Linked DNA regions of Schizosaccharomyces pombe. Changing the gene in region 1 together with any one later gene gives a genetic interaction. Each region holds a gene or a part of one and is shown in the gene's direction. Other genes may lie near its edges.

Region 1 (8,890 bases):
AATCTTTAATTTTTCGCTCTTTTAAAAGAAGGTAATTATGACCTTGATTAATGAACCACATATTATATGGCCCCTGATATCTATACTTTGATACTATGTAAATATAAAGAACGCTATACTCCCAAACGCTATAAGTTGTTTGTTTACGATATAATACCTTTTTGTGTTTGTTTTTTTTAGGTAAAGCAACCAAATGAATGATGCTTTTTTATAAGAAACTTTTTTAATATAATTGGGTTATATTAGACATTAAAAAAAAACCCCATAACTAATGTAAAACAAAAACCTTTAAAAATAATGTACCGCCGGTAGAGATGATTATTAACGCCATAAATGTTGGTGCAGGAAGGGAATAAAACAGGTTCAATGGAATATCGATAATCCTAAAAAAACTTGTGAAAAAATCTAAGTTAAATCTAATCACTATCCAAAAATTTATTGGCAGAAGCACCCAGATACAGGCGTAGAGTGTTAGGGGAGCAATTTACCAATTTGCAGCGAACCTTTTTGCGCCCTGCTTCATCGTGAGCACGTAGTCGATGACAGCCCCCAAAGGCAAAATAATAAGGCTTCCCACTCTTTTTAAACGTTAAAACATCAACAGGAGGAAGCTCACCAGCTTCCAAATCTTCTGAAGTCAAACCGCATGAAGCTGGAGGAGTTTTCCCTGTCATGGTTTCCATCATACTATTGACTTTGTTCATATCTAAAACAGGAGGTATAGGACGAATTAACTCAGACATATCAAGCTCAACAATGTTGTTATTTGAGCCAGTGTGAATCGAAGTCATGATGGTTAAAAATGAATGAAAGAAAGAATATAAAAAAGATAAAGTGAACAGAAATTTTTATAAATAGAACAGAAAATTATAAAAAAAGGCAAGTTAATAAGAATGGAAAAGTGGATATTGATATCGAGTATATTTACTCCTTGATCTGATATCGTTTCCTGTTGTACTAATGATCTGCCCCACAACCTATCTTATCCCGGTATGTATATAATAATTTACAAATATGACATCATTATCAAAGATGAATCGATACTTAAAATCTTATGTAAAAATTTGTCAGCATGTTAGCGAAACACGTTAAACCGACTAGGACAAAGCAACGTGGTTACGTTACGAGGTCTGGGTTTGTGTTCTTAGTAAGGTAGTTGGAGTAGCTTATTCATTAAATGTAGATGGCAATAAAACACTATTGCAAAGATGTCAAAGTGTAGAATGATGCTACCTAAATAGAATTTCAAGCACAAATACTTAGGTATAAATAACTTGGAGTCGACGGAGAACTGTAAATGCACGAGTACATTCAAAAATGTGTAAACAAAAGGTTCACTTTCTGAAAACGCTTTCTAAAATGTGACAGAGATAACCGACACAAGATCATTAAAACAATATGAGTATTGTTTTCGAATGGTGAAAGAAGCATTAGCTAGTTGAAGAGTGCAAATTTTGGTTAAGAAGAAATTCATTGGTAGAATGTAGGCTTGAACCGTTAGTCGTCAACAAAAGTGGAATTTTAAAGATTGCATCTGAAATCCTTAAATTTTAAGAAAATCCATCCTTAAGTCAGGATTAAGAAACCATAGTATATTATTTTGTTTGTATAAGTTCGGCTGCTATATTTGCTGAGGCCAAATTGATTCTTGGCCAACGTTTTATATCATAAGATTTGAAGGCAATGTAGCAAATTGAATATTAGATTATTTTAACACTTTAAAAATGTTAGGTAATGTAAGGAATAACATTTCAATTTAAAGAAGGACTGAGCGACAAATGAAAGGCTGTTCTTTTTTTTACAATTGTTGAGACAATTACAAGAACTATGGTACACATAAAAACTTTTAAAGAGTAGCAAGGTTTTAATACAATTCTTAAAGTTTTTTGAGCAAACAGATCACAATGATCCTTTCATATGTACATGCTTTAGAGAAGTAAGGTCAATACTTCAATCGGACTTCTCATCTACAATGAAAACGCGAATTTCATAATAAATACTAATCATCCATCCGTTCTCTCATATCCTTGGTATCCTTTATCCTTCCCATTAGTCAATCTCTAAAGCCATTAATCCTCATTTTTTTATAATGCCATCGCTCAATTCCCGCAAAACATCAAACCTTTTATGAACAGATACTATCATTTACTTACAATATGTTTTTAGCAACATAGCTTCCTATTAGCCTGATGTGAGATTAACTTCGATAAACTTTCAATATTAAAACTTGCATTCGATTTGAATCATCTTTACTGCCATAAAATAGAATTGCGATTTAGGATCAAGTTAGCACGACATCATGGTGTTTTCCAATATTCGCGACCTGTTCTCAACCACCACTCACCACTTCATTAATTCCAAGTTTTAGAATTCTTTAGCTTTTTGAAGTATTACTTGTGAATTCCTCAAGTGATAGTATTTATTGTTGAAATTGCTAAATATTTTTCAATTTCATCCTGCATTGTTTCCTTCTTCAAACATTATATCAGGGAGAAAATTGAAGTGTTTTTTTGCCTGGAAATCTAATCCAATTGCTACGAAAACGAATTATCATATCAAAAAGGTAGAATAACATTAAAAAATGAATCCTGAACGCTGGGCTGCCGATTTAGTCTCTAATGTTAAGGATTACGGCAAGCGAATCATTGACTATGCTCATGAAAAAACTAGTAACCCTCAACCTGTTACAGTTCATACTACAAACAGTGCCAAGGGAAGATTGGGAGAATTTCTTTATCAAAATAGAGTATCAGTTGGCTTAGGATCGGCCGCTTTGTTCCTTGCTGGATTATCCTATTACAAACGCTATGATTATGTACGCAAGCGTCGTGCTCCACGTGCACCCAACCACCAAAAAACCCAAGTTGTTGTCTTATCTGCGTGGAACCCTCTCGCCTCAGTAATTGCTCACGATTTGGATCGTCGTGGTTTTATCGTCGTTGTTCTTGTTCGCGATGCATCTGAAGCAGCTACTGTTTCTCTCCAACAACGCCCTTACATTCAATCTTTGATTGTTACTCATAATGAGGCTGTTGAACGCTTCCTTTTGTCTTTTTCCAATCAATCTGGCCCTAAGGAGTATGCTTTGCGCCTACGTGGTCTTATTCTCGTTCCCACAGGAGATTCTTTGTACACTCCAATTGAGAACATTGGAAAAGATGCTTGGATCAGTGCTTTTCAACAACTCAGTGAATCTTTCTCTAACGTTTCTCGAATGATTCCTCTTTTGAAAAGTCAAAAGGCCAGAATCATTGGCTTGTCTCATGGTATATTATCCGCTTATGAGCCTCCCAATTATGCTGTTCCATCTATTCTTTCTTCTTCCATTGAAACTTTCTTGCGCACTCTCAAGCGTGAAACGGGCTTACAGGTTATTTGTATCAAACTTGGAAATCTCAGCTTTTTGAATTACGATCATTCTAGCTCTCCAGGTAAAAGCAATTATCCTCCTTCGTTGTGTACGGAACGTAAGGTTCTAAACAAAATTTTTGACTCCTTGCTTGGTTGCTGGCCCTCTCCAACTCGCCATGTTGGTTGTCGCACCTTTTTCATGGTCACAGTATCACGGTTCCTTCCTACGTGTGTTATTGATGGGATTTTCTCCTTGTTTGGAAAATTTCACTTCTTTTCCTGCAGTCTTATTAAGCGCAGCTAAATACTTGTATGGAGCCTCAGTTCTCTCTGTTTCCTTGTCAAATTGAACTCATCCCATGTCTATCATGGTTTGGTATAATGATAATGATGCTATGAAAAGATGTCATTGATATCCATATCTTTTGCTTGAGTTTTTTCAATTATTTTTGTTTCTATTTTTTTTACGCTCGAGGTGTAAAGCGAAATCTAGTAACTGTTAAGCTCTTTTCCTCAGAGCGAACTTAAGTAAAATGGTTTATAGGTTATTTTACCGTTCGTACTATTGCTACAATTTCGATTTCAAATTGTATTGTCTACTTAAATGTGCAAGTGATACAAAAGATAGGATGTATATTGATCGCTACTGAAACCGTAAAAACAAAAGTTACTCGTAAAATGAGTGTCAATTTTCTCTTTAATTTATTGAATGAAAATATTAAAAATCATTCGATTTAAACAAATTCAGTTTGGCCAGAATTCTAAACATTTCAATTGCCCTTAATTTTGTTTGCCTCAATAAATCATCGCTCTATTTCGTTAAACAACATAATGTCTGTACGTCCTCTCTCACTATGTGGTTTACTTCCGTATATAAACGGCTCTTCACCCGCAAGTGCACGCGCTCCTCTCAAAAAGGTGTTGTTTTCGTCGCATTCTTCTTGAAGAGGCCAATTTTTGGGATTCTTTTTTATTCTAATTTTTAGAGCTGAAATGAACATGGAACAAGAAGATGATCAAGTCCCAGCTGTTGCAGCTGAAACTGTTCCTTTAAAACGATATGTAACGAATCCTGGTGCTAATCGAGACGAAGAAGTTGCAGCAGCGCCTTCGTCTCAAGACACTCCTTATTTTGATTATGCTTATGAGCGCTCTTTAAGACATGTAAGTATTTAAGTGAAAACCCCCCAATTCGATATATTACGTGTTTAACTAACCATAACCTAGCAAGATGCTAAATTTCTGGCTATGAATGGAACACAAAACGGTCGGGATGGACTGCCCTCTAAAAGCCCAAGACGACCATCAGTCTCGGCTAGCACAGTAAGGAATAGTGATGATGTAAACCATAGTAAAGCTGGTCCTGGAAGTGGAAAGCTTTTGAATGATACGCTTCAAAGCAAAATAAGTAGCATTCATATGCCCCATGTGCAGCAGGGAGACAATGCTGTAGTTTCTAGTGTTGGTGGCCCTGAAACCGATCCAGGAAACATGGAAACGACTGACCCTCTTTTCTCTGATGAATTGGCAGAAATTTATTTGTCAATCCATAAATGTATGGACATGCGACACAAATATATTAGGGTGAGCTTACAGGGTGAGCTTGACAATCCCATTGACGATGATTCATGGATTATATACCCTGATTGCAAAGAAGGTGAAGATGATACGGGCTTGTTTAATTTTGCTGATTGCAAAATTCCTGGAATTGAAAATGAAATGGAATATCACATGGATCATCAAGGTATATTTCAAGTTTATGAGAATGACAGCGCATACATTGCGGGGACACCGTCTTTTCATATTCCTACTATCCGCGATTATTATATAGATTTAGAATTCCTTCTTTCGGCTTCATCGGATGGTCCTAGTAAATCATTTTCCTTCCGTAGATTGCAGTATCTAGAAGGACGCTGGAATATGTATATGCTGCTAAACGAGTATCAAGAGCTGGCAGATACCAAAAAAGTACCCCATCGTGATTTTTACAATGTACGTAAGGTAGATACTCACGTCCATCATTCTGCTCTTGCGAATCAAAAACATCTCTTGCGATTTATCAAAGCTAAACTTCGTAAATGCCCTAATGAAAAAGTTATCTGGCGTGATGGCAAATTCCTGACTTTACAAGAAGTATTTGATTCGTTGAAGTTGACTTCGTATGACCTTAGTATAGACACGTTGGATATGCATGCTCATACTGACACCTTTCACCGATTTGACAAATTTAACTTGAAATATAATCCAATTGGTGAATCTCGTTTGCGTACTATTTTCCTGAAAACCGATAATGATATTAACGGTCGATATCTTGCTGAACTTACCAAAGAGGTGTTCACCGACCTTAGAACTCAAAAGTACCAAATGGCTGAATATCGTATTTCTATCTATGGACGGAATCGTGAAGAATGGGATAAGCTTGCAGCCTGGATTATTGATAACGAACTTTTTTCTCCCAACGTTCGTTGGCTTATTCAAGTACCTCGTTTGTATGATGTGTATAAGAAGTCCGGTATTGTTGAGACTTTTGAAGAGGTCGTCAGAAATGTCTTTGAACCACTGTTCGAAGTTACAAAGGATCCTCGTACACATCCTAAACTCCACGTGTTTTTGCAACGTGTTATCGGGTTTGACTCTGTTGACGACGAAAGTAAACCTGAACGCCGTACCTTTCGCAAATTCCCTTATCCGAAACATTGGGATATTAATTTAAATCCTCCATATAGTTATTGGTTATATTACATGTATGCCAACATGACTAGCTTGAATAGCTGGAGAAAAATACGTGGTTTTAACACCTTTGTCCTTCGTCCTCATTGTGGTGAAGCTGGAGATACGGATCATTTGGCCAGTGCTTTCTTATTAAGTCACGGTATTAACCATGGTATTTTATTACGAAAAGTTCCTTTTCTTCAGTATCTTTGGTACCTTGATCAGATCCCTATCGCAATGTCTCCATTATCAAACAATGCACTGTTTCTTGCATATGATAAGAATCCATTTTTGACGTACTTCAAACGAGGTCTTAATGTTAGTCTTTCCACTGATGATCCTTTACAATTTGCATTTACCCGAGAGCCTCTGATTGAGGAATATGCTGTAGCCGCACAAATTTATAAGCTCTCTGCTGTCGATATGTGCGAATTGGCTAGAAACAGTGTTTTACAATCCGGTTTCGAACGTCAGCTTAAAGAACGTTGGTTGGGTGTTGATTTTCAGGATATTGATCGTACTAATGTACCTATAATTCGCCTGGCTTATCGTGCTTTGACTTTGACACAAGAAATTGCGTTAGTGAACAAGCATGTCCAACCATCCAAGCACCCTTCAAACCATGATTTGGAGGAATTGATCCATAAATATGATGCTATGACTGGTACTAGCGACCCTTTGTCGGCTTCTCCTCGTACGAACGACGCTACAATAAGCAGTAGATTGTCTCTTCATGATGGTCATGACCATGGTGCCTTTTTCCCTGGACTAAGTGTGATTTCAGAGCGTCGTCGACGTAAGGATAGCATGGCTAGCAGTAGCCAAGATTTGAAAGATTAAGGTTTCTATTATGAACCGCTTTCGTTTATTTTACTTTTGCTTTTTTTTTCATGCAACTTTGATGTATTGAAACATTTGGGGAAGGCAATATACCTTTGATACCTTTGATAATTGTGCATTCTGTTTTAGAACGATATTTGTTCTTGTTATGTTAAATAACCCATAAAAATATATATAACATATATATTACCTCCTTTTCTTTCCTGTCTTTTTTTTTTTTTGGAATGAATGTTTACTATACATATTTAAATAGATAATGATATCCATGTGAACTAAAATGGTATGAAAAAAGCTTACAAGTCTATTTAATGGAATACTTATAGAGAATTAATTCTCAAAAAAACAAATCATGTGGATCATCTTCATTATAATAAAGTGAGTAAAGTAAGATAAGTTACCATGTTACAATTCGAATTTAGTAATAACTTAAGCAAAACGTTAAATTGATTAATCAGTTGACGCGGACAATCAGCAAATACTAATCGCACCAAAAGTGCACACAAAAATAAACAAACTAGTTTAGTATATCGATTTGTAGTGTGATAAGGGTTACCCATTCGTGGTTCAAGAGGATGAATTTAAACATTTTTTTCAAGTTCTTTGACAAATTCATCCATATCGAAATCTTCTGAATCTTTCTTCAAATTAGGCAACATAGAGTCTTCTAAATTGAGTATTAGTAAAGCGAAAAAAAAATGAGTACTATTGCACCCGCCAAAGTTCGTTAAACTCGTTGAGATGCAAAGAAACTAACCTTTAGGAGGAGTGTTTTTAGTATTGAGATATGCAATTTTGGCAGATTCAATCAAGGATTCTTGTCGGTGATAGTTCTCATCAATCTCCTTCTGCTTTTGACATTGAATATGACTCCTATGCTCGTACATTCCAGCACCTAAGCCAAGGACGAGGGCTGACCAGCGTAATGTCTATTCGTTAGAGATGGTTAAAAATACACATGGATATTTCGTGAAACTAATTCATTAGAGGATACCTTTACGTTTATGGAATTCATTTTTAGAGCGTTATATCACTTTTGTAAAAGAGTGGGGAGTGTTCAAGTTCATTTTGCATCCGAGCACAATCGAACTCTAAACACTTAACACGAATAGTGCAACGTTTAGTATTAGTTTAACATTCTAATAAAGGTTTTTTTAAAATATTTCAGCAAACGCTTTACCGTATTCTTAATTACTCCGCGGTATTGAAGCTGCTACCAGTGCTTGATCCATTTCGAAAACAAAGATAGCATTAACACGTTACGACACATTAAATTGTATACAATAACAAAACTTCGAGTACAGTAGTTTACAGTGCACGAAGAAGTCCCAAGGTAAAGCAAACGAAGTAGAGTTGCTCTCCTTCACCAAACACAATGTCGAAAGCAGCAACGGTTCCCGTGGCATTTCAAGACCGAGAAAAGCCTCAAGAGGTTCGGCTTTCAAATATTATGGCGGCTCGCTCAGTCGCCGATGCGATTCGAACTAGTTTGGGACCGAAGGGAATGGACAAAATGATTCAAACAGGAAAAGGTGAAGTTATTCTAACAAATGATGGTGCAACTATTTTGAAGCACTTGTCCGTCCTTCATCCCGCTGCGAAGATGCTGGTCGACTTAAGTGCCGCACAAGACGTTGAAGCTGGTGATGGTACGACCAGTGTAGTTATCTTAGCAGGATCCATGCTCGCATGCGCTGAGAAGCTTTTAAAAAAGGGAATTCACCCAACAGTTATCGCGGAATCTTTTCAAAGAGCAGCAGGTTTTACTGTTGATTGCATGAAAGAGAATGCTTTGGCCATTGAGCTGTCTGATCGTGAATCACTCTTAAGGGCAGCAACCACATCTCTAAATTCCAAAATTGTTTCACAATACAGTAACCTTTTAGCTCCAATTGCTGTAGATGCCGTATTAAAGGTCATTGACCCTCGTGTTGCGACAAATGTGGATCTGAAGGATATTCGTATTGTTAAAAAATTAGGTGGTATTATT
Region 2 (7,003 bases), on another chromosome or scaffold:
TATAAAAGTCCATGTATGAGGGTGGAAGATAGCTATTATTATTAATATAGCATGCATAGGTGTAAGGGTCAACAAAGGTATAAGGGACATTGGGAGGGATTGCAGGGACGTCGTTTGAGTATATAGAAGAGTAGTCAATGGATGAATTAATATTCTGATTATAATAGGGAGAAGCGGTTGCATTATAAGGATCAAAGGCCCAAGCAAAATGTGATGGCTCAGGAGGGGATTCTGTACAGCTGGTGTCCGAAGAGTCACGACCATGGGAGAAACCAGGAACTATTTCCAATTGTAGTTCATTTACATAATCGTCCATAAAGCTTGTGTCAGTTAGAGAGGGAAAAGTAAATTGCGAACAAGCATCGTCGACATTGCAATTATACGCTAAAAGACGGAAAACACGTCGAAATTCCAATTGTATTCCTTTCATGGTAATCTCATCTGCAGTATTAGCTAGATTTCGAGATGTATGGAAAGGCTCTTCAACACACAGAAAATTGTTAAGCTGAAATTGCCATCCTTTTGCTCGTTTCGAAAGAAAGGTACCGTGTCTAATGGATAAAACAAAATGCTCGTAATCAAATAAATAACCAAAAAATCGAAAAAACTCTACGAACAGGATACCAAGAGACTCCTCGTTTTTGTCACCAAAACCATGAACAAGATCTGGATCGTCGAAAAACGACACATCCAGCCCGTCAGTCATAGTAGACGAATCTTGTAAATGAGGAAGCATTTGCAAGCTGGGAAGAATCGGTGGATCGCGCTTTTGTAAAAAGTTTATAACCATACAGCTTATGGTGTAAGAAGTGAGTGTACCGCCCTCGGCAGCGTCATTCAAGCATCGTCTTTTTGCCCAATATTTAATCATAACAATCAAGGGCCGAACTCGGGGATCACAAAGAACGTAAGAGCGCATCAAACGCGTGTTTAAGGTAGATATAGTTTTATTGATATTGCAATCGCATGATAGTTGTAATTCTGAGTCCCAAACCTTTACAATTGGCACTTTAGCTGTTGAAATGCAAACGACCTTTTTAAGTCCGTTCCTAGCAAAGGCAGCTGACACCTCGCAGGTCGTTGGAGCACATTGAGGCGGATCAGTAATGATACACAAATCAATGTCTGATGCATTGCTGGCAAGAAGAGATTGGGTTGACCCAAAAAGGGAGGTTTTGATATTTTTATAGGGGAATTCTTTTTTCAATATTTGTTCGAGTTTCTGCACAAATGCATATCGACGTTCTAAACCCGAGTCGTTCAGTATAATAGAGTCATACAACTCGTACAGTTGAGAAGAAATTAGATCAGTATCAATATCAACTAAATTCTTTAATGATAGAGGATGTACTGGCGGAAGTGGATCCGCACCGAGGCTATAAGGAATACGCCTTCTATATTGAAAGCTGCGAGTTTCAAATTTGCAACCGCCAACGCAATTAGCGTTGTCCATAGTATTAAGAGGGTAAGAAGCTTCTAAGGTTTAATAAGTTGCAAATTCTCTATGGATTCCGACGTTATCCTACCTTGTCAGCTAGTAAAGGCGTGAGTTCTTTGTAATATGATCAGCTTTGATCTGAAACGATCCAGCAAGAACAGTTCAAATGTACGAGCCCTATCGACAAGAAAAGACAATTTAGAAGTACTTCTAAGTTTCAAGATCGTATTGATGAATTAATATGAAGTTGGTAATGTTTGTAGCTATTCTTAGGAAGAGGTGTGGGATAAAAGAACCGCCTAACAGCAATACGTACGTACATAGGTATCAGCTTTCCTACACAAGGAACAAGTACGGCATCAACATAGGATCGGTAAATAAGTAACAAATGAATATACAACGCCGTTATAAAGTAACCTTAATATATTCACGTAAGACACCTTTAAAGCAACGTTCAGCTAATGATATTTTTACAATCTTCAACTGAAAACAATAAACAAAGTAATCATCAAAGAAAAAACGCAAACAATGACGTTGGCATGACAACGAGCATAATTGACACCTTTCTTGACGTTTTGACGTTAAATAGCGTGATTCCGTAATCTGCGTTATTCTATAAACAAACTAGCAATACATAAACATACATGATCAATGTTGCTCCCACAAAGCATGGACTTGACTTTCCAATTGAGTGGAAACGTTCGTGTAATACTTTACTACTAACGAATGTACAGCAGACAATATTAAATAAAAAACGCCGCCAAGTAAGCTATCCATCTAACTCCAAATACCATACAATTGACTCCTTTAATAAGAAACATAAATCAAACAATCTAACGGAATTTGAAATCGTTTCATTTATTCACTAAAATCTACGCTAAAACATGACACAACTTCATCTAGAAATTACATCTATGTCATCAAACGACACCACAGTTGTAATATAATAGATGAAATTAAACACGTCAGAAAACACCAGCTGCCCTACATAATACGACCAAAAGGAAACATATCATGTAAGAGATCATCGCATAGAAAGACAGCAAAACAATTAGGTAAAAAACCTAATCGAAAAGCATGCCTTCAAAGAATTAAAAGTCCTCACTCTGAGGGCAACGGTGCCTCCTATCATCATCCGTGTTGAGTTCTGTGGCTAGGTTAGGAAACCCAAGCCGGACGTATACTATAGAAATGATCCTATGGAGTATCGTCGATAGTGTTTTGTTGAGGATAATGACCCGTATATATAGTAAATATAACGGAAAAGCAGTCACATTCATTTCCAATCAACGAATAATGTTGAACTTTCAAGTATAATGCAGTGTCAATTACACTATATTAAAAAGACTTTGCAAGGCGGTGAAGCTGCTCTTAAATTACAATAAGCATGAAAATCATATTTCGGTAAATTAGTAAAAGAAGTCATGAAAATAGAGCTTAAGGCCGAGAAAACAAAAAAAAAATTTACAAATTTTTTAACTAGTTAGAAAAGGTTTAATAAAACTGGTAGGCTCCTCTATTCTATAACTTGTAATCGCCGACAGCCATGGCTTTAAAAAGTTGCTACTTGTTGTTACTTGTCATTAAACTGGTGAACACTAACTCCTTTAGAAGTTCGTACAGCAATTTGCACTTCAACCAACTACTTGGCAGACTTAAAAAACATGTCTGATACAACTTCATTGAATGTGTAAGAATGACTAAGATATATAAATAACTAATTCAGTAGTCCAGAATTGGAGTCTCCCCCTATTGAGCGGGTGGAATTAGAATCTTTACTTGTAATGAATATCATCAAGCACTGCCGTGATTCTTTTCCTAATATGGGAACAATTGGTAAGTGTAGTCATTGGAGAATAAGTTTTCCCTATTTTTCGAAATGATAAAACTTGCAATTTTTCTGCATCAAAGATGCAGCTATGCATTTGTCAGCTCAGTAATGCTCTACTTAGTGAAATTTCTTATCAACCACAGTTTCTCTCTTGAAATAATATTTTTAACTAACTTTCGTTCAGGTCAGCTTGTTGGTATTGACATTGATGGTGTTTTACAAGTCAGTAGCAGCTTCGAGTCTCCGTCTGTTCTTGAAAATGAAGAGTCTGCTGTTAACAAGTCTGTTTCCGGTAAAGCACGCCAAGCTCATACTGAGGCGATGCTTAATCGTCTTCAGTACATTGGTGCTGTTACTGGTCACGTTGGTTGGTATTTGGGAGCCTATGTTAGTTCATTCTTAAGTAGCCCCTTTTTTGTAGAAACGCAATATGCTTATCAAAAGGCAAACCCCAACAGTATCGCTTTTCTTTATGATTTGTCTCAATCTTCTAATGGAACTTTGTACATGCGTGCTTATCAGTTAACTCCAGAGTTTATGGCTGCCCATGAGGAAAAAACTTGGACCGCCTCCTCCCTCAATAGCCACAACTTGACTCCTTCCAATGTTATCCGTGAACTTCCTATTGTTATTCACAACTCTCATTTGGCTACCTGTTTGCTCCACTCTCTTAGTGAGCCTCCTACTCCAGCTTCTACCCTAACCGCCGAAGCTGCTCTTGAAGATTGTGAAAGCAACTTACCCTTGACTGAAACGTTCAGTAACTTTGAGGTTAGTTTGGGTACCAGATATAGAAAGAATATTGAGTTATTATTGGAGTCTACTGATGAGTTTCATTATGAGCAAGGAAATCTTGGATTTCATCAACGTCAACTCGCAAGAGAGCAAGCTAAAATTCAACAGTGGATTGCTAAGCGTAAGGCCGAAAATGCAAATCGTGCTGCCGAAAATTTACAACCTTTACCTTTAGACGATTGGAAGCGAATCTTCAAGCTCCCTGCGGAGCCTCGACTTCTTGACTCTCTATTGATTAGCTCTCAAATTATGAAGTCTACTCAAATAGATGAACAAAGTTCTGCTTTCTTGTCTAAGCTTGCCGGTGTACGAAACGCTTATGCTTCTTAAGCTACTGATTGGTAATAATCGCTTAAATTTAGCGCTAATTATTTGTGAATCTGGTTGAAAATTTTTAAGGACTTTGATCTCTGTGAAGCGGTTGCATGTATTTGTTTATAAAAAATGGAGCATTCTTCTTCACTCTCACTAGTTATACCTCGTAGCATTAAAATAAAAGGATCTACTTAATTATAAAAGTTGTTTTGGTTTTCTTGATACAGCATATTGGTTTGTTGAAATACAATGTGCAAAAATATACCATGATTGTAATTATAAGAAACAGTTTAATCTTCAATAGTGCATTCAGTTGCTGGTAATCTACTTGTTTATCGTATTCGAGTTTTAGGTTACATTGCTAATTTAATATATTTTCGGGCCCTTATACAACATCGAAACACTTTTCTATTAATAAAATATATTGTTAAATTTTGTTTTCTCTCTGTTAGATTATTTAAAAAAAAAATCGTAAATATTGCCGAGACCTTTTTGTTTGTTTTGACTTGCTTCACGTTACAATGTTGACTTGGCCAAAACCAACAAATTCCAAATTCATTCAATTCGCAACTTGCAATGGAAGTTCCTTCTGCAGTTACCCTAAATAATTATGTGGGTATGAAAACAAAAGAATGTTGATAAAGAGTCAAAACTAATGTTTATAGGGTTCGATTCTATCACTTCGCAAATTAACCGCAAGTTAATTCGTCGTGGTTTTCAATTTAATGTAATGGTGGTTGGTACGTATTATTTTTATTACAGATTTTCAATTATAATGATGTTAACAGTTTCAAATAGGACCGTCAGGTAGCGGAAAAAGCACTTTGATTAATACTTTATTCTCTGCGCACTTGATGGACAGTAAGGGTCGTCTGGATTACCAAGCTCCTTATCGCCAGACAACTGAAATCCATGTTACAAGCCAAGGTATGTTGATTTTTTTATAGTTAGGTTTTCATCTTTGATTGAACTCATTGAGCTGGCTTCAATGAGTCAGCAATCCTTATATTTATTATGGTTACATTGCTAACCACATAGTCGTTCGCGAGAACCGTGTTCAATTACAATTAAATTTAATCGACACTCCTGGATATGGAGATCAAATTAATAACGATAAATGGTAAGTTTGATCAGTGGAAATGGAAATTTCTATTCCTGCACAGCAATTTCTAACTATAATAGCTGGGAGCCTATAATTAAGTACATTAGGGACCAACACTCTTCCTATCTTCGTCGTGAATTAAATTCACATCGCGAGAAACGTCTACAAGACACAAGAGTACATTGTTGTTTATTCTTTATTCGCCCAACTGGACATTCTTTGCGCCCTATTGATATTGCTGTCCTCAAACGCTTAACAGAAGTCGTAAATGTTGTGCCTGTTATCGCTAAGTCTGATTCATTGACTCTTGAAGAAAGAGCAGCATTTAAGCAGCAAATCCGTGAAGAATTTGTTAAACACGACATCAATTTGTATCCTTATGATTCTGATGACGCCGATGAGGAGGAAATTAATCTAAATGCTGCCGTCCGAAATCTTATTCCTTTTGCCGTGGTCGGTTCCGAAAAAGCCATTATCGTAGATGGAAGGCCTATTCGTGGTCGTCAAAACAGATGGGGGGTTGTCAATGTGGATGATGAAAACCACTGCGAGTTTGTTTTTCTTCGTAACTTTTTGATGCGAACTCATCTTCAAGATTTAATTGAAACGACCTCATACTATCATTACGAGAAATTCCGCTTTAAGCAATTGAGCAGCTTAAAAGAACAGTCTTCCCTCGCAACTAGAATGGGAAGTCCCGCACCTGTGTACCCTTCTGAACCACATCTCCATACAGCCACCGCTCAATAGTCTTCTTCCTAAGGTAATATATAGTATGTTTAGAACAAAGACTAAACCATTTGTATGACTGTCGTACCGTAATTCGTAAATTTCGGCTCTTTTTACACTATGCGAATCTTACAAATGAAGTGTTTATCTTATTAACGAGAGATTATATGTTTGATGCGTGATTTTGTCTAGCTATTATACAGTTCTATATCAATATTTATTGAAAAGCATCAAAATGATTTTAAAATTAAAGTACTGGTCGATTTAAGACATTGCAATCCATAAAATGTTCTAGCATCAATCTTCCGAAATGAGATTCGATTTGTGCCCGAAGTTTAAATTCTTTAGAGTTTGATGCAAAAACATTTTGTAGAGATAATACGCATAAATAGGAAGTGCGTAATACTGCAATATCTGTGCATTCTTCTTGCATTAATTGCTGTAAGCCAGAAAGAACGTCATTATTGTTTTTGGTAACGGCATGTCCTACACAATCTATAACTTTAGTAAGAGGACTTCTTGATGCTGAATACAAGTGCACATGATATTCATCTCGCCAAGCAACCATTCGTTCTCGATGCAAATCATCAGACAAGGTTGGTTGAGAGAGAATGTCCAATCCAATAGTAAACAAAGAATCCGAAACAGGTGCATGACTTCGAGAAACAGAAACTTCCGATAAAGGCTTTCCATTAAACCCCCAGATACACCCACGAGGAAGAATTGCAAAAACTAGTTCACGAACGACCATAGCAATCAATAAGCTGACATAATTTGATTTGGTAGACGAAGA
Region 3 (8,097 bases), on another chromosome or scaffold:
TTTCTGAAAACGGTCAACAAATCATCTCCATTCCCAACCCCTTCCAAGGTGTTGAGAGTGCTAATTCTGATGCTGCCAACAACTTGGGTTCCAGCTCTTCCCTTAACTTAGTTGATACCTTCCTTACTGGTGAGAAGATTCCTTTGTGGCCTTTGTTGCAAAAGGGTCGTGATGTCGATGTTATCGTTGCCGTTGACAATGGTGATGACAGTGAATGGCTCTGGCCCAACGGTAACTCTCTTGTCCAAACTTATGAGCGTGTCGTTGCTGCCCAAGCTGCCGGAAACACCAATGTTAAGGGTTTCCCCTACGTTCCTAGCCAACAATCCTTTGTCAGTCTTCACTTCAACGATCGCCCTGTCTTCTTTGGTTGTGATGGTCGTAACACCACTGCTGGTAACCACACTGTTACCCGTGACACTCCTCCTTTGGTTATCTATCTTCCCAACGTTCCTTACAACTACTTCACTAACATTTCCACTGATCGCACCTACTACACTGAAGACATGATTCAACAACTTCTTACCAACGGCCTTATTTCCTCTACCGTTGACAATGACACCTACTTTGGTCAATGTTTTGCCTGTGCCGTTGTTAAGCGTACTTTGGAGCGTAACAACATCACTGCTAGCCCCGAGTGCCAACAATGCTACTATAACTACTGCTGGAGCGGTCTTTATGATGACAGCGCTGCTAATGATGATATTGTCTACAATCCTACTTGCCGTCTTGGTGAAGGCATTTAAGGAAAGGCGCATGCAAACTTTTCTCTCTTCAGTATTTATACGACATATCTGTTGCTCACAAGCAAAAGATAGAGGGCAATGCTTATGCCTGGAAAAAAGTTTTTAAAAAAAATCTATACAATGTCTGCTGTCTTAGCATAAATCAAACCTAGCCATATATGTGAATCAATCCAATTACGCGATATGGGTTTTTGTTAACGGATTATTAAACTGAACGTTCACTCCGCTCTAATTAGGGAGACTATTTTGTTATCTTCCGAAAGTATTTTATTCTAATTTACCCTCTCTTCGGAATGTTTTTTGTTCATTTTCTATTGTGAGCTTTCGTTTGCTGTAATTCAGTTTTGTTGACGGCTCCAAATTGGACGTGTTCTAGTTGTTTATGAGAGTTGCTGTTATATATAGTTGCGAAAATAAGTCATTTTTTTAATTCTTGGTTGTAATAAGAATGTTGTTTGTCTATATAAATAAGTTGACTGTAATTTTTTTGTTTTGTTTGATTCAAAAAATTATTATTTATATGTATATATTTTGTATGATAAAATTTGATTTTTAAAGGTTTGCTATACTTGAACAAGGAATAGTGAACTTTAACATACAGCCTATAATTCATTAATTAGGATGAGGAAGGAGATGTAGAAATGAAAAAATTTAGTTAACGTAAAACAGATTATACGATCATTTACAAATTATATCAACTGTACGCAATTTAATCAATGAAGTAGTGGGGATGTAGATGAGACAGTATAGAATACATCACAACGAGTAATGGGAGAAAAAAATTGTAGTAGTTGCGCGGGTTTTGCTCGGCCTCGGGCTTTACTTTCTAATCCGATGACTGTGAGTTACGTGTTTTGCAAAATTATTTAGCAAGTGTGCATTTTATGCTTTAAGTCTAAACGAAATGGGATCCGAGTTAACTTTAAGTTGAGGCTTTGCTTTTGATATAGGTATGCGCATGCGATTTACAAAAATCTAATCGAACAGAAGTAAGTATGTGTGTATGATAATAACATTTTGATAAATAAAGAAAACTGGCTAAACATATATTATGTAGAATTGAAAGAGCATAATTACAAGAAGAAAGACACTTGAAGATATGTTGTGATGTCATTAGATGTAGCGACTTTACAAACATGAAACTATGAGGAAAAAAAGAGTTACTGAGAGAGATTGATGATATTTTATATACACCATGACTCCAAAGATTGAAGGAAGTTAATAAATAAACATTGTGATTCATATTTTAATCAATTATGTAAAATGCGGCCAGTTGTAATGTAATGCGACTAATTTGATGCCAGTAATGTGTGTTAAATAATAGTCAAGGACAATCTGCAAGTTCCTTAGAAAGGTCCGGTTTCGAAGAGGCACACTTAATATCCGAGGGCGGCGCAGTTGAAATAACCAGCCCGGTTGAACGCTACATTCTCCTATACTTAACCTGCAAATGTTTCCGTCGTTAAGGATTTTAGATATATAGCTTAGCAACATTCATCCCAATGTGAACTTTAAAGCAGTCATAGTTGACCAGAAGATGAGCAACAAATTCAACGTAAAGGCTTGCGTCTCAGCGACTGCTCAAAATATAGATTTACACAACAACTTTACATATTAAGCGATATTTAAAGGACCGACAGTCTCGGTCTCTTTTCGCATAGAACGGAAGGGCATTTACATCATGGGGATGTAAATGGACCTTTTTTGATCTACAAAATGGGAATCTAAAAAATCTGTCAAAGATAGACATATGTGTCTCTGCTTACATATATATACATATATATATAGGCTGAATCACTTTCAACTTGCCTTTTCCCAATATTAAAATTATCGCACAAGTCGCTACTTTAGCTACTACTAACTTTTAGGGTAAGAAAGTGTAAGGGGGGATTTGCTTGGAGACTAGGCATGAGCTTGTATTTAATTGGAATAAAAGAAAAAGAATAGGAATTCATGAATTTGTTGAATGAAATTGCAAAACTGCAAGTCATTTGTATGAAACATAAAGCAGATGAATCCCAGGTTTTCGGTTACGATGCGACGTTTGCCGATGAACAGAAATGGTAAATGGTTTCGCATTTGATTCCGCAATACCGCAAACAGAAAATTTTATAAACCATGGAATTGTCAAGCGTTTCGCCAAATTCAAGAGCAAAATCCAGTGTTTATCTTAACATTGAGACGCTATGCTTTTTAATAAAAATCAATAACTTTGGATACTAACTTGTCATTTATTTAGACACAAATTACAATAATCAGATCCTCATATACCGGAGCAGAAATAACAGCACGGTAAGCAGATACAGTGATACAGTAAGAGCTGCGTTGGAATACGGGTGAATTTCAGCTATAAGGAGTTTTAAAATTTTTACGTAGTAGGGCGCTTTTGGTTTAATTTGTTTCACCATCCGTTTACAAATATTCCGTTGTTGTGTTGTTTTCGTTCACAAGAAAATTGTTTGAGGGTATAGTCAATTTTCTAAACTTTTGTGGGTCTAGAGAGACAGTCGTTGATTCCATCGTTTGTTTTGAGCGCGTTTTTGTAACGGCCTTCTAATCTCTGAGTTCAAGCAAAGCGGTGTGTAGATTTTGGCATAATTTCCCAAATTTATTGACCTAAAGACGGTTTAACTATAAAAAAAAAAGACAATGTTATTTAATTGTTTTGGAATACTCGCTCTGCTCCAGATCCTGCCGGCCTTGGCGTACCCGCCTTGTCGCGAGCAAATGTCGGATCCGTATGAGTTTGGGGAATCTGACTTAATGAGACCGGGCATGCATGACACGCCTCTTTCATTAATGCAAAAACGAGAGGCTTTGGCGATTTCGCTTTCCAAGCGCGACAGTGTTGGATCATACGCGCCTTATAATGTAACTTGTCCTAGTGACTATATGCTACGACCTGCTTCTGACGGAATAAGTTCAGGCGAGCAAAGTTTCATTGATAAACGTATCCCCAAAATCAATACACAAATGAGGTCCTTTATTTCCAACACTGGTTTGGACGTAGATGTAAACTCTGTGATTAATGATTCAGATGGCCCTCGTTTAGGACTTGCATTTTCTGGCGGTGGACTCCGCGCTATGGTCCACGGAGGAGGTGTTTTAAATGCTTTCGATTCTCGAAATGGCAATGGTTCTTCACTTGCTGGAATTCTTCAATCCGCCATGTATATCGCTGGTCTTTCTGGTGGTTCATGGCTGGTCGGTTCCGTAGCTGTTAATAACTTTGCCAATATTACTTATCTACGTGACAACGTTTGGAATTTGGAACATAGTGTCTTTGCTCCTCATGGTGACAATGTTGTCGAAAATCTTGCTTATTATGACGACCTGGATGATGAGATTGATCAAAAGAAAGATGCAGGATTCGATACTTCTTTGACCGATCTTTGGGGACGCGCTTTATCTCGTAAGCTTGTCGATGCTACCCAAGGTGGTCCAAATATCACATTTTCTAGCATTAGAAACCAAACTTGGTTCCAAAATGCCGACTATCCTTATCCCATCATTATATCTGACAGTCGTTTGGAAGAGGAAAAAGCTATCCCTGCCAACACCAGTATATTCGAATTTACTCCATACGAGTTTGGTACTTGGGACAATGGTATTAAAGCTTTTCTCCCTATGGAATACGTCGGTACCCATTTAAAGAATGGTGTTCCACCAGACCATAAGTGCATTCGTAACTATGATAATGCCGGTTTTGTTATGGGTACTTCAGCTACATTGTTCAACACGTTTCTGTTAGAATGGAGTCAGGAAGTAACGTCAAATAGTACTCTCTATGATATTATTCATAAAGTATTTGAAAAACTTTCTGAGGATCAAAATGACATCGCTCCTTACCCCAATCCTTATCAGAATTTCACGACTACAAACACCACCGTCAAAAACCCTTTTGAGCGATTCGATACTATTGATTTAGTAGATGGTGGTGAAGACGATGAGAACATTCCTATTTGGCCTTTGTTACATCCTCAAAGATTTGTTGACGTTATATTTGCTGTTGACGCAACTTATGATGATTCTAATGGTTGGCCTGATGGCTCTTCTATTGTTACTACATATGAAAGGATTATAACTTATAACGCCAATAAAAGTGTTGATGTTCGAGGTTTCCCGTATATCCCTGATGAGGACACAATCATTTCCTTGGGACTGAACACTCATCCAACATTCTTTGGATGTGACGGCAGAAACACTACTGCAGGTAATCATACCGTAGATAACAATACACCTCCTCTTCTTGTTTATTTCCCCAATTATCCTTGGGTTTACTATTCCAATATTTCCACGTTTACCATGTCTATGAATGACACTTTGTCCAGTGGCATTCTTGAAAATGCTGCTCTATCGGCTACTCAAAACAACAGCGATTCATTTGCAGTCTGTTTGGCATGCGCCATGATACAACGTTCCTTGGAGCGCAAAAATATGTCTACTCCTAGTCAATGCTCTTCTTGTTTTGAACAATACTGCTGGAATGGAACAACCGTGAACAACCCTAGTGCCGTTTCAAACTATGCTCCTACTGTGTTATCTGCATCAACCACTTCTGGTACCTCTTCTGTACGAGCCAAACCTATAGTATTTTATTTATTTGCTTCGCTTCTAACAGTTTCGTTACTATTATAGACGACGAAAGCCTCCCCCACTCACACACCTTGGTATGAGTCACTTTTCGACTTGAAAGAATTAAAAAGCATAGACTGAGTCAGGCTTTTATTTATTAATTGTAAGGTATTAATCACTACCAAACTTGTGGGGTTCAAAGGTTTTGTAGTTTTAGTGTTAGTGTTAGTGAATTCATTTTAAGTTTTCGAAGCACAATGTTTCTTTTCTCTAATGAAGATGTTTAGTTTAGTTAATTTAGGAAGATCGCTTTTATTTTTAAATATACAGACAATTAATTTTAATAATGATTGTGCAATTTTATAGATATCAAAGCTGTTTTGAATTATAAACCGTCAAAAAAGTCAGTTCCTAAAGGCTTTTTCCCTTGATTTCCCACCTTTTTCTTTTTCTTAGGACTCGAGAATTCAGAGTCGCTGCTGGAATCTTCATCACTATCTAAATTATCAGAGGAGGATGACTCATCTCCTTCCTTCTGATCAACCGGCCAGAAAGCTAGTTCGGTTCCACTACAGGAAACTAAAAAATTGCCTTCGGTAGTAACATCCACAGCGTCTACGGTTGATCGCGAAGAGTGTTGCCCTATAATTCTTTCGTATTTGTTTGGAAGAATGTGTAACAAACGTATACATCCGTCGCTTCCGCCAACATACAGACTGTCAGAATCAGCACGAGTTATTGTTTCTATTGAAAAATCATGGGACCGAATTGGCGATAAAATGCGATCGGTATGATCCCCCCAATCACCCTTTGTAAATAAAGTTATAACTCCACTGGCAGTACCAACAGCAAATTTCTTTTTTGAATGCTGATCCCGTGTAAAAGCTCCACAGGTCATTTCTTCGTCTTGTTCTTCACTCAATATTGGTTTTTTGAAATTACGAGCATCGATTACTGACAAAACTCCATCACCACTAGTAGCAACGAAGTATCGTTCTTCAAATGGGCTAATAGAAGATATATAGTCAATATGATCATTATGGGTATGGATAATGCCTCCCTCGGTGCGCTTATCCCAAACAGAAACACAACCATTATCATCACCTGTAGCAAAGACCATATCATTCTCAATCCATTGAACCACACTATAAGGAGAAATCTCCTTATTCTTATCCACTATCCATTTTGAACTCACTCTCCCCGTTGAGGTATCGGCGATTTTTAAAACACCATCTGAACCTACAGAAATGAATTCGGTACCTGATTCATTTACTGAAATATTTCTGCAGCTTTTTTTATGTCTTTTGGTACTCCATTGCTCGACCAAACTTATTTGTGCGACATCATATTGATAGCTACTAACTCTGCCGTTTGAAAAACCCAGTAACACTTGATTTTCACCGAAACAAGCTAAGTCGAATATTTCATTTTCAAATTTTTGTTTTATAGCAGCATTTATTGTTCCACCCATTAGGTTGTTTAGGACAAGTAGGCTGTGATTAGAGCTGGGCAATCCACCTCTCAGCACCCATTGCCCTGTAGCAAATTTGCATACCCTAGAATCGCGAATACTATTACACTACCAACTTGATATTGTTTTGGAAAATTTACATAAAGCATATAAAATTTTATTTGTACGAACTTCTTGAACTCATTTAAATAATTCAATAGTATTTTTTACTTGGGGATTCTTTATTCAAAGACTTTATTCGAAATCGTTAAACTACGAATTCTTTTAGAAAGTTAGACATGGAAAAATGGACGAAGGAGAACGTACTGAAAATTTTGCCAGTCGACGATGAGAGTGCCGCAATGATAACAAGCACTGCTTTAGCAGTCGATTCTTCCGAAGCCGCAAAAGATTATTGGATTTCTTTACTGGGGGATTCTGCTGAGACTATAGAATTCATTAGTGACTTCAATCAAAAAAGATTTCACTCTACGCATTCTGGTAATTCTCCATCGATCATGAAAAACAAGAAGAATGTGACACCAAATAATAATATTCGGCAAAAAAATACTGCCACATCTTCTCATCCAAGTTTCTATATCGCTAACAATAAGCAAAAAGGATATGATGAAGAAATGTATAAAGTCAATCCTGCTTCGAGGAATAAATCACAATCAAACAATATTTCATCACATGAAAAATCTAGCAAAACTACGAAAAATGTCTCTCCAGGCGTAATGACTTCTGACCTTATTCCGGAAAAGAAAAGTGTAAAACATAATAACTCTTCTTCTAACAGAATTGAAGGTCTCGCCGACATCGAAAAAGCTATACGTCAAATAGAGATATCTCAAAATATAAATAAAGCAGAAAGAAGAGTCTGCAATTGTCAAGGACGTAAGCATCCGCTTAATGAGGCGGCTCCCAATTGTTTGAATTGTGGAAAAATAATTTGCATTGTTGAGGGGATTGGGCCTTGGTAAGTAATATTACTACTATATCTTATTAACAAGTTTTTACTAATCTTAATTAGCACCTTTTGTGATAATCCTGTCATTAGCAAAGCTCAACAGTTGGAATTAATTCAAGAGTTGAAGCATGAGGGAAGCCGCTTAAAGCAAGCTGCCAATCAAAAACGAAAAAGCAAAACCGTTTCTAGTAAAAATAATTTTCAAAGGTTGCAAAATTCCTCCTTGCATTCAATTTTTCTCGATCCTAAACAACTAGAGCAAAAAGCTCAGGAGGCTGAAGAAAGAAAAAATGTCTTATTAAATTTTGATAGAACCTCTGCTCAACGAACTCGTATTATCGACGAAGCTGCTGATT
Region 4 (7,953 bases), on another chromosome or scaffold:
ATCACAAAATGGGAAGTCTTCCAGCAAAGGCTTAGGAGGCATGCGCTCAAGGGTATTTTCTAGCCAGCATCATGGTGTTTATCACACCCGTCCTGCTTCGCTTCATTCACGTACAATGGCTCCTCAGCACACCATTCTTACTCCACGATTATCTGCTACCGAAGGTAAGGATGACGATGAGGACGAATTGGTAATTTCGACATCGAATACTGCACCAACATATATCTCAATGATTGAGTCTTCACGTGCCAGCTCAACCCATAGTGGGACTGCACCTTCCATTATGGGAATGTCAATACATTCAAGAGCAGACTCCAGAGCCGAAACTACTCAATCAGACGGCTTTGAATCTCGTAGCGGATCACCTACTCATGATATTCAATCTTATCTTGTCAATCGACGAAGCAGCAGTTCTGAATCTTCAGACGAGGACAGTGCTGAAGAAGGAATGAAACGTCTAGTAATCACAAATATGGGGGACAATGATGAATTCGATAGCGATTAGTGCAGTTATTTTTCCATCGATATCTGATAAAGTATTATTATTTATTATGGTGCTATTCCCTCACCTAGTTTAATTGCTTTAATTCGTTTACTTTTATTCGCATTCTTTGGCATAATCAAGCATTCCTTCCCCTTTCTGTTCTATTACGTATTTCTTTCATTTAAAACCCGGCATTGTCAGCTAGTCTCACATCTTTAATCAAAACATGAAATAAACTATATCAATATTATCATCATTCTATTTTTATTCATTTGAAAGCTATTCGGTGCTTCCTGTTTTAATGTAACATGAATATCAATAACATTTTAATTATAGAACCTATAATGGTTTAGGTAGTGTGGAAAATTGGGTAAATATTTTAAAGTCCGAGATTCATAGATTAAATTGTTCAAAAACAAATATTTTATGCCCAACGAAGACTATTCTAGCAGACCAAGAAGCAATGAGGTATCGTTTTCCTTCATTATCTTTTCAGCCATTAAACTGCCAACGTTCTTCTCAAGAAGACCACTAGCATTTGGCGGAAGAGTTCGTTGATTTGGTAATTGATCATCCCGCAGTAATAGCAAAGCGTCGTACAAAGCATCCATACATTTATTGGCCTCGTAAATCTCCTCTTCATTTCCTTTTTCCAAGGTTTTCCGAACTAGGACTTCGTAAACTTTGATATTGGGAACGACGAGGACTCTAATAGCTTCTTTCCCCATAGTTTTTAAGCCTTTGATGGCACCATAATGAGTGGAATATGGCTTGGTGTTATCCAAAAATGCTTTGAGTGCCGTGCGAGTAACGCGAGGCTTTAATGTATAATACACATTACCAAATCGATCACAAACAATCCCGAGTAAAAAAGCAGCTAAGTCTCTTAGTGCATAATGCTCGTGATTATTAGGATCACTGCCAAGGCGCTTCGCGACCAAACAAGTAAGGATGGATGGCATGAGTTGTTGGACGTAAGGCTCTACAAAAAGGTTGGGGTTATCAAGAAGGGCCCAGGCCATGTGCATTAAAGTAGTAAGAACCACAAGATTTCCTAAGTTTCGAGTTACAGAATCCGATAAAAACATTATGAAGTATGGTAAAAGTTGGTGTAATCCGGGGTCGTCACGTAAACTCGATAGGGCAGCATCACGGAGCTCAACATTAGTTTCATCAAGCAATGCACTGGTAATACGCTCAAAATAAAGCTGTAACTCTTTGGATAGCACATGTCGCACCAACGGTTTTATCTCAACGTTGTCCATCGAAGTGACACCGTTTCGAGCTTCTTTAGCAGCAGTTGAAGCACCTGGCATAACCCCTGAAGTACCCTTGGATGCCCATTCTCCAACTGTGTGATCTGAGGGAGTTGGATTTTGAGGAATGGCTGGCTGCACACCTTCGATGGCCAGCCAGTGTGCACTGTAAGAAATGTTTCTAGGGACTTTAGGGAGAGGAGCGTTTATGATTTTTTCAAAATCCACTTCCTCATCATCAAGGTAGTAAAGGGAATTTTGGCCTGCACCTACAGCGGCTTCATGAAATTCTAATGGACGAGAATTATTGAAGCCGTATAACGGCTCAACATTCAACGTCCGTAACGCTGAAGAGATATCTGCGCTAGTTAAAACAGTTCTTTTAGAATGAACCATAAACTTAGTGGCTTCCTAAATCAAATACTGTTAGAGAATTATGTTTAATGTCAGAATAAAGCAGACTATCTAGCAAATTGAAAGGCATCGTAAAAAACTAGCAACAATTTTTTAGTTATTTTAGCCTCTTCCAAAGAAAGTAAAATCTCATAGTCTACTTTCACGAAACCTACCTGAACCACCTGATGAATTCTATATTCGAGATCCATTGCAATAGCTGCTGCTGGTTCATCGGCAAGATTGCCAATCCCAAGCATTTCAGCAACATCTTTGATGGATTCAATATTCCATACTGTCAAGGACATGACTTGGTAGTAAGATGAACGATTTATGGATCAATGAGTGAATTGCATCTGCAGAGAAGTAGTTAACGATGTTAGAAGCAACTGCTTTATTTAACATACTTGTCAGCAATACTACACTACGCTATAATACACTACGTTGCGTATCACTATATGTCACATGTTCTAATTATATATCGTACCATGTATGATACGATATGGAGATTGATCTTAATGATAATCTATTAAGATCTATATTATCTGAATACTATAAATAGAGCTACTGCTGAACCTCGTTCCTCAGTTCAGTTATGAGCTATATTAGTGATAGGTAACATTATAACCCAGTTAATACAATACCTATACTCAGTTGCTACTTATACAACCTGTGTATTGTAATATAATAGATCACAAGGAAAACTCACCGCAGTTCTACGTATCCTTAAATCAGATACCAAACTGCGTAGCTTACAAGACAGTGAGCTACACTAAAATCGCTATTAAACATTACGTTACGCATCAAAATACACTACATGGAATACCAATTAATCTCAATTTGTTGAACAATAGCAGAAGACTATATGTTTGTTTACTAAAACATCCATTGATATTGATATAAAATAGTAGTTAAAATTAGAAGTCTAGATTGAACAGAGCATCATTCTCAGTCCAGTTATTAGCTGTTACAATGATAAATATATTATCACCCACCACTCACAATACTGTATAACGCAATATACTGCTTCTACAAGCTAAATATAATTTAATGTAGCCTTAAAAGGAATTAGAAACTTGAATTGTTGACACTTATCTAGTTGCACCGCAAGTCACCCCGCATTGCTAAACGTATTTAACCATCGTTATTTTTCGCTAGTCGTCGTTGGGCTGCGCATCACCATTTCAGGCACGATTTCAGTGATCAGATCCAAAAACCCAACCGGCCACCATCATGCTTGGGCATAATATATATGAAGAAGACGATGCATTTAATCCATTCGCAGATTCCGTTTCTCCACTGAACCCTCCAAAAACCGACCAAGAGCCCTCAGCTGAAGGAGTGGAAGAAGAGTCGCCGAATGTTCAAGCTTCTCCACCAAAAACTCATATCTATACATCTCCTAGGAAACGAAGCGTCAATTTGAAATCTCTTCCGTTTGAAACGTTAACTTTGGATTCTGCACCTTTAGGTCCCTTGCAATTTTCTGATGCACCTTCTATGGCACCCGAAAACAACCGTTTGGAAGTTGGTTTAAATACAAAAATTAATCCGTTAAAAGGATCTAGTCCCGCTTTGAATGCAGATTTTTCTGCAAATAAGCCTTGGATCTCAGAAGTGAACTCCTTTTCCCCTTCTCCTATCGGAGCAACGGAAAATCCCACTATACCAAATTCAGAACAGACGGTAGATACTTTAGACGCTGCCTCATCTTCTGCTCCAAATTTTACACACACTGTCTCATCTGCCTCCTCCCAGAAGCAAGGTTCAACCTCATTAACAGATACGGAGAATCAGAAGGCGCACCCGGCAGCGGCACCTCAATCTCTTACCCCGTTTTACATCCAAGTTCATGACCCTCATACCGTTAAGGAAATCACTAAATCGCATACCGTATATTCGGTTTCCACTCGTTTAGAGGAACACAATCAACCTTCTGTTAGCAATGTGACTGTACAAAGACGATATAATGATTTTGCTTTTCTTTATCAATTGCTTTCTAATAATCATCCGGGTTGTATCATTCCTCCCATCCCGGAAAAGCAGGTTGTAGGCCGTTTTGATGATGAATTTATTGAACAGCGACGAGCAGCCTTGGAGGTAATGCTTCGCAAAATATCTGCCCATCCGGTTCTACGTGATGATTACTCATTTAAGTTGTTTCTTGAAGCAGAGACATTTGACCCTAGAATGACACATCGTACTACTCTCATTGAGAGTTCATCAAGTCCTTTGCGCTCAGGTCCCTCAACATCTGGTTTACTTGACTCATTCACCTCCGCCTTCCATACCTCTGGATCTTCTAAATTTTCCGAACAGGATCCAATTTTAATTGAAGCAAAGGATACACTTGATTCGTTGGAAACTCAACTAAAGTCGGTTTATCACGCGCTTCTTTTATCCATAGATCAACGCATACAGTTCGCTTCAGCCATCCATGATTTTGGCGAGGCTGTTGGAAATTTATCTTTAGTTGATTTAGAGCCCACCTTATCATCCAAGTTTGATGGTCTTTCCCAACTCCAGGTAGAGCTTCGATTTGTACAAGAACGTAAGGTTGCTCAAGACAATTTGACACTGGGCACTACATTGGAGGAGTACATTCGGTACGTGGAGAGTGCCAAAAATGCCTTTACTACACGTCAAAAGTTGTGGCAGACATGGCAATCTTCAGTTCAAGCTGTTTCTCGTGCTAAAACTCAACTTGAGAAATGTAAAAAGCAAGCGAAATCTCAGCAAAAATCACTCCCTTACTTGGAAGAACAATACGAAAAATATCGAGCAAAAGCTGCTGATCTGGAAAAAGAGTTTTCGGAATCAACAACTCTGTTAAAACGAGATTTGAGTTCTCTCACAACCAGTAGAGTTGATGATCTCAAAGCTAGTGTTGAAACGTGGTTGGAATCTGCAATTGAATCTCAAAAAGAAATTATTGAGCGTTGGGAATCATTTTTGGATCAATAACGACTCTAATTTTCCCTATGCACTCTTTTAATTTTTATGTTTTTCTTTCGTGTAATATTTCTATCCCATATTCGTATTAATGTATTTCCAACTACCGCTTTATTACTTTGCACTTCTCTAGCTGACGATTTCTATTCTATTCTAATTATTTTTTTGCAATTTCCCTTTTCGTCCATGGTACTTCATTACTTGAAAAGAAAATGTACCTTAAAATATTGCATTCTATCTACTAACCTTACAGCAACCCTACACTCCTTTGTAAATAAATAACTTGTGTATGTTTTTAAAAATTGTCTTTGTTACTCAAGCCTTTTTATATTTGTTTATGTTTAAACGCTTTTTCCTGCTTAAATTGTGTTACTTATATGTAAAAGCGTATGCAAAAATTTGTTTAATAATATGGTGTATGACTACTTTATGTTACATATTTATTTGTCTTAATTTAGACTCGTGATTCAAAGCTCTCAAAACGATAGCTCAAAAAAATGTTCATGTAGGAAACGTTTATCATTTTGTATCCTAAGGTTTATTCATATTTTTTAAAAAAAAAAGTGGATTTCGCTTTCATTAATAATCTCGTTATATCAATAGCTAATCACATAATCAAGTGCGAAATGGAAAAGCATTTAATCAATTCAATGCCGGATATCTGACTGTTGAATCGCAATGTCTTCAGCCTTTTTGAGGAAAGGTAAAAGCTTTCCATATTCTTCATAAGTTTGGGCGGATGGTTTATTCATGATTAGTTCAATTTTCTTGGACTCATCCCAAGATTTGTTTACATATTCTTCAAAGGTAAATCCTTTTCCATTCATTGCATATGCAGCCTTGATAGCGCCCTAAATTGATGGTCAGTAACTATTAATTAACAACATTTTCCGTTCACTTACGCCAACAGCACAGGCATTACTACCGCCGTGTTTTAGCCGATAAACATCACATCCCAAAACCTGGCTAATTTTAAACACAATAGCCTCGTTACGACTAGCTCCTCCTACAACATAAACACGATCAGGTTGTGGTATACCAGTTAGCAAAGGAGTAATCCGCATGCGGATATCAAGATTTTGACTTTCAACTATGGCAGAAGCATCCTCATCTGGATAATCCCATGATTCTTCATCTTTATCCACCTGATACAACTCGGTGCCTTGGATTGCAAATCTCCACGTACCCGGTCCAACTGCGGGTAAAATCTCCCTTTGTGGATAAAAAAGACCGAGCTGTTTCTTTTCACCAGCACCTTTAATGTTGGGGTTCAAAATCGATTCATTAAAGCGGTCCCAACTGGTATTGTCCGAAACATTATATTTTTCATTGATTGTGTTTCTTACCTGTTCCCGCGCTAAGCTACCGTTTTTATAGCATAACATTACCATATAATGCTAAAGTCCATGTTAGTTAGAAAACCAGAGAAAATGATGAGTTTTGAACAACTACTTCACCAAAAGAAAGTCAAGTTCAACTTACGTTCTGCGTAACAGGATGAGCAAACATGTGATACTCTGGAGAACACACATAGTTTTGAGTAGCCATTAGAGCAGTAGTACTAGTACCCAATGATAATAGTACATCTTTTCCCGGTCTTAAAGGAAGGGATAAAATAGTGGCAGGGTTATCTCCAGTTAAAGGAATGATTTGACAGTTAGGAGAAAACCCATACTTCTTAACGAAATACTTCCCAATTGGTCCTAGATGTTTTGCCCCGTTAATCTCAACCGTACCTAGTTTGTTAGCCAAGTCGGGTCCTTTAGAATTACCAGCAACTTCTTCCAACAAGCGAATATCGAATTTCTCATTCTGAATGTCCCAGAGATTCATTCCACAAACGTCACTGATGTCTAAAGGTGCCTCGGTTTGCAGAAGTACCGAGGCTAGAAAATTAGAGACAAGTGCAATTCGTTCGGTATTTTCGTATGTCTCGGGGTGCAAACGACGAAAACGCTTGATTTGGGGTCCAGTAAAGCGTAGGTGAGCTTTAGACCCAGTAAGGTCCGCTAGTGCTTTGGCTCCACCAATGCAAGATTCAAGCTCCTCGCATTCTTTGGTAGTACTGGCATCTTGCCAATTTGGAGATGTTGGATGAATGAGACTTTCCAATTGTTGTTTTAAAGAAGATTTGGCATCCAACGAATTGAGGGCTTTTTTACTTCCCTTAAGCAGGAAAACGCTTGCATGTTGCTGACCGGCACCAGATATAGCTTGTATTTTGCTAACATCCACAGAAGCCTTAAGTCTCTCAAACAGTAAATCGATGGCGTCTAGCCACATACATACTGGAGCAAAAACCTCATATCCATTCCTGTAGACCCCTTTGATAGTGTTGTAATCACTTAGATCCCGATCAAAATCGACGGCAACCTCTTGATGCACGTTCAAAGACTCATCAATGACCACGCCCTTGAGCTGCTGAGTTGAGAGATCCAAACCTAAAAACATATTCACAAAAGTCAAATCTTTAAAATGACTGTCGATATATTGTACTTAAGAAACGGAAAGAATGAATTTCGACAAAATCAAATTAACAGAAAAATCTCGTTTTAGCGCCTTCCTTAAGCTGTATTTTCCGCAGTTATATGTCTGATCAATATATATATCGTTAACCATTGACATCCAAAAGTTCTAGCCGTGACTTATGTCCGTTTTTACTTACGATTATGTTCGTAAAAATACCTTAGATACAGTTTACCGAAACCTTTTCAAACGTTAGCTTAAAAAAACTCAGAGTGTTGTTGGGGTAAGGTACCTTGTTTACTCTAGAGAAAAACAACGCGTTGGAAACACGTTTGGCAAAAAACTCTTTGAAAAAAAGTGATATTCGTTTCAAAATCGAATATCAATATAAAAAAATGGCTG

Evidence for each region.
Region 2: mutations in ada1 (region 1) and tif308 together harm fitness more than expected from each alone (negative genetic interaction), as found in Schizosaccharomyces pombe (one large-scale study listed by BioGRID).
Region 3: mutations in ada1 (region 1) and plb3 together harm fitness more than expected from each alone (negative genetic interaction), as found in Schizosaccharomyces pombe (one large-scale study listed by BioGRID).
Region 4: mutations in ada1 (region 1) and vps5 together harm fitness more than expected from each alone (negative genetic interaction), as found in Schizosaccharomyces pombe (one large-scale study listed by BioGRID).

Annotation. Positions count from the first base shown.
Region 1 is NC_003423.3:376,046-384,935, forward strand, and holds ada1 (adenosine deaminase Ada1), read left to right. Parts: upstream 1-4,254; 5' UTR 4,255-4,344; coding exon 4,345-4,515; exon of another isoform or gene 4,516-4,578; coding exon 4,579-6,903; 3' UTR 6,904-7,255; downstream 7,256-8,890. Other genes in the region: srx1 (sulfiredoxin), read right to left, coding at 417-791; SPOM_SPBC106.03 (steroid dehydrogenase), read left to right, coding at 2,582-3,655; tim11 (F0-ATPase subunit E), read right to left, coding at 7,482-7,567, 7,658-7,829, 7,895-7,915; chaperonin-containing T-complex delta subunit Cct4, read left to right, coding at 8,276-8,890. UniProt on the Schizosaccharomyces pombe protein: AMP deaminase plays a critical role in energy metabolism.
Region 2 is NC_003424.3:985,295-992,297, forward strand, and holds tif308 (translation initiation factor eIF3h (p40)), read left to right. Parts: upstream 1-3,066; 5' UTR 3,067-3,102; coding exon 3,103-3,128; intron 3,129-3,167; coding exon 3,168-3,274; intron 3,275-3,365; exon of another isoform or gene 3,366-3,453; coding exon 3,454-4,394; 3' UTR 4,395-4,572; downstream 4,573-7,003. Other genes in the region: cytoplasmic poly(A) polymerase Cid13, read right to left, coding at 1-1,453; mitotic and meiotic (sporulation) septin Spn2, read left to right, coding at 4,956-4,995, 5,045-5,119, 5,178-5,306, 5,418-5,499, 5,562-6,231; DNA-binding transcription factor Moc3, read right to left, coding at 6,458-7,003.
Region 3 is NC_003424.3:1,067,426-1,075,522, reverse strand, and holds plb3 (lysophospholipase Plb3), read left to right. Parts: upstream 1-3,160; 5' UTR 3,161-3,395; coding exon 3,396-5,384; 3' UTR 5,385-5,600; downstream 5,601-8,097. Other genes in the region: plb1 (lysophospholipase 1), read left to right, coding at 1-746; SPOM_SPAC1A6.11 (uncharacterized protein), read right to left, coding at 1,669-1,989; wdr55 (WD repeat-containing protein), read right to left, coding at 5,707-6,792; transcription coactivator Rqt4, read left to right, coding at 7,071-7,750, 7,805-8,097.
Region 4 is NC_003421.2:699,241-707,193, forward strand, and holds vps5 (retromer complex subunit Vps5), read left to right. Parts: upstream 1-3,356; 5' UTR 3,357-3,366; coding exon 3,367-5,097; 3' UTR 5,098-5,578; downstream 5,579-7,953. Other genes in the region: protein mug123, read left to right, coding at 1-505; TATA-binding protein-associated factor TAF6, read right to left, coding at 925-2,151, 2,310-2,441; xks1 (xylulose kinase), read right to left, coding at 5,733-5,936, 5,988-6,482, 6,568-7,536. UniProt on the Schizosaccharomyces pombe protein: Required for efficient sporulation target of PtdIns(3)P in vesicle transport required for onset of the forespore membrane formation. Plays a role in vesicular protein sorting.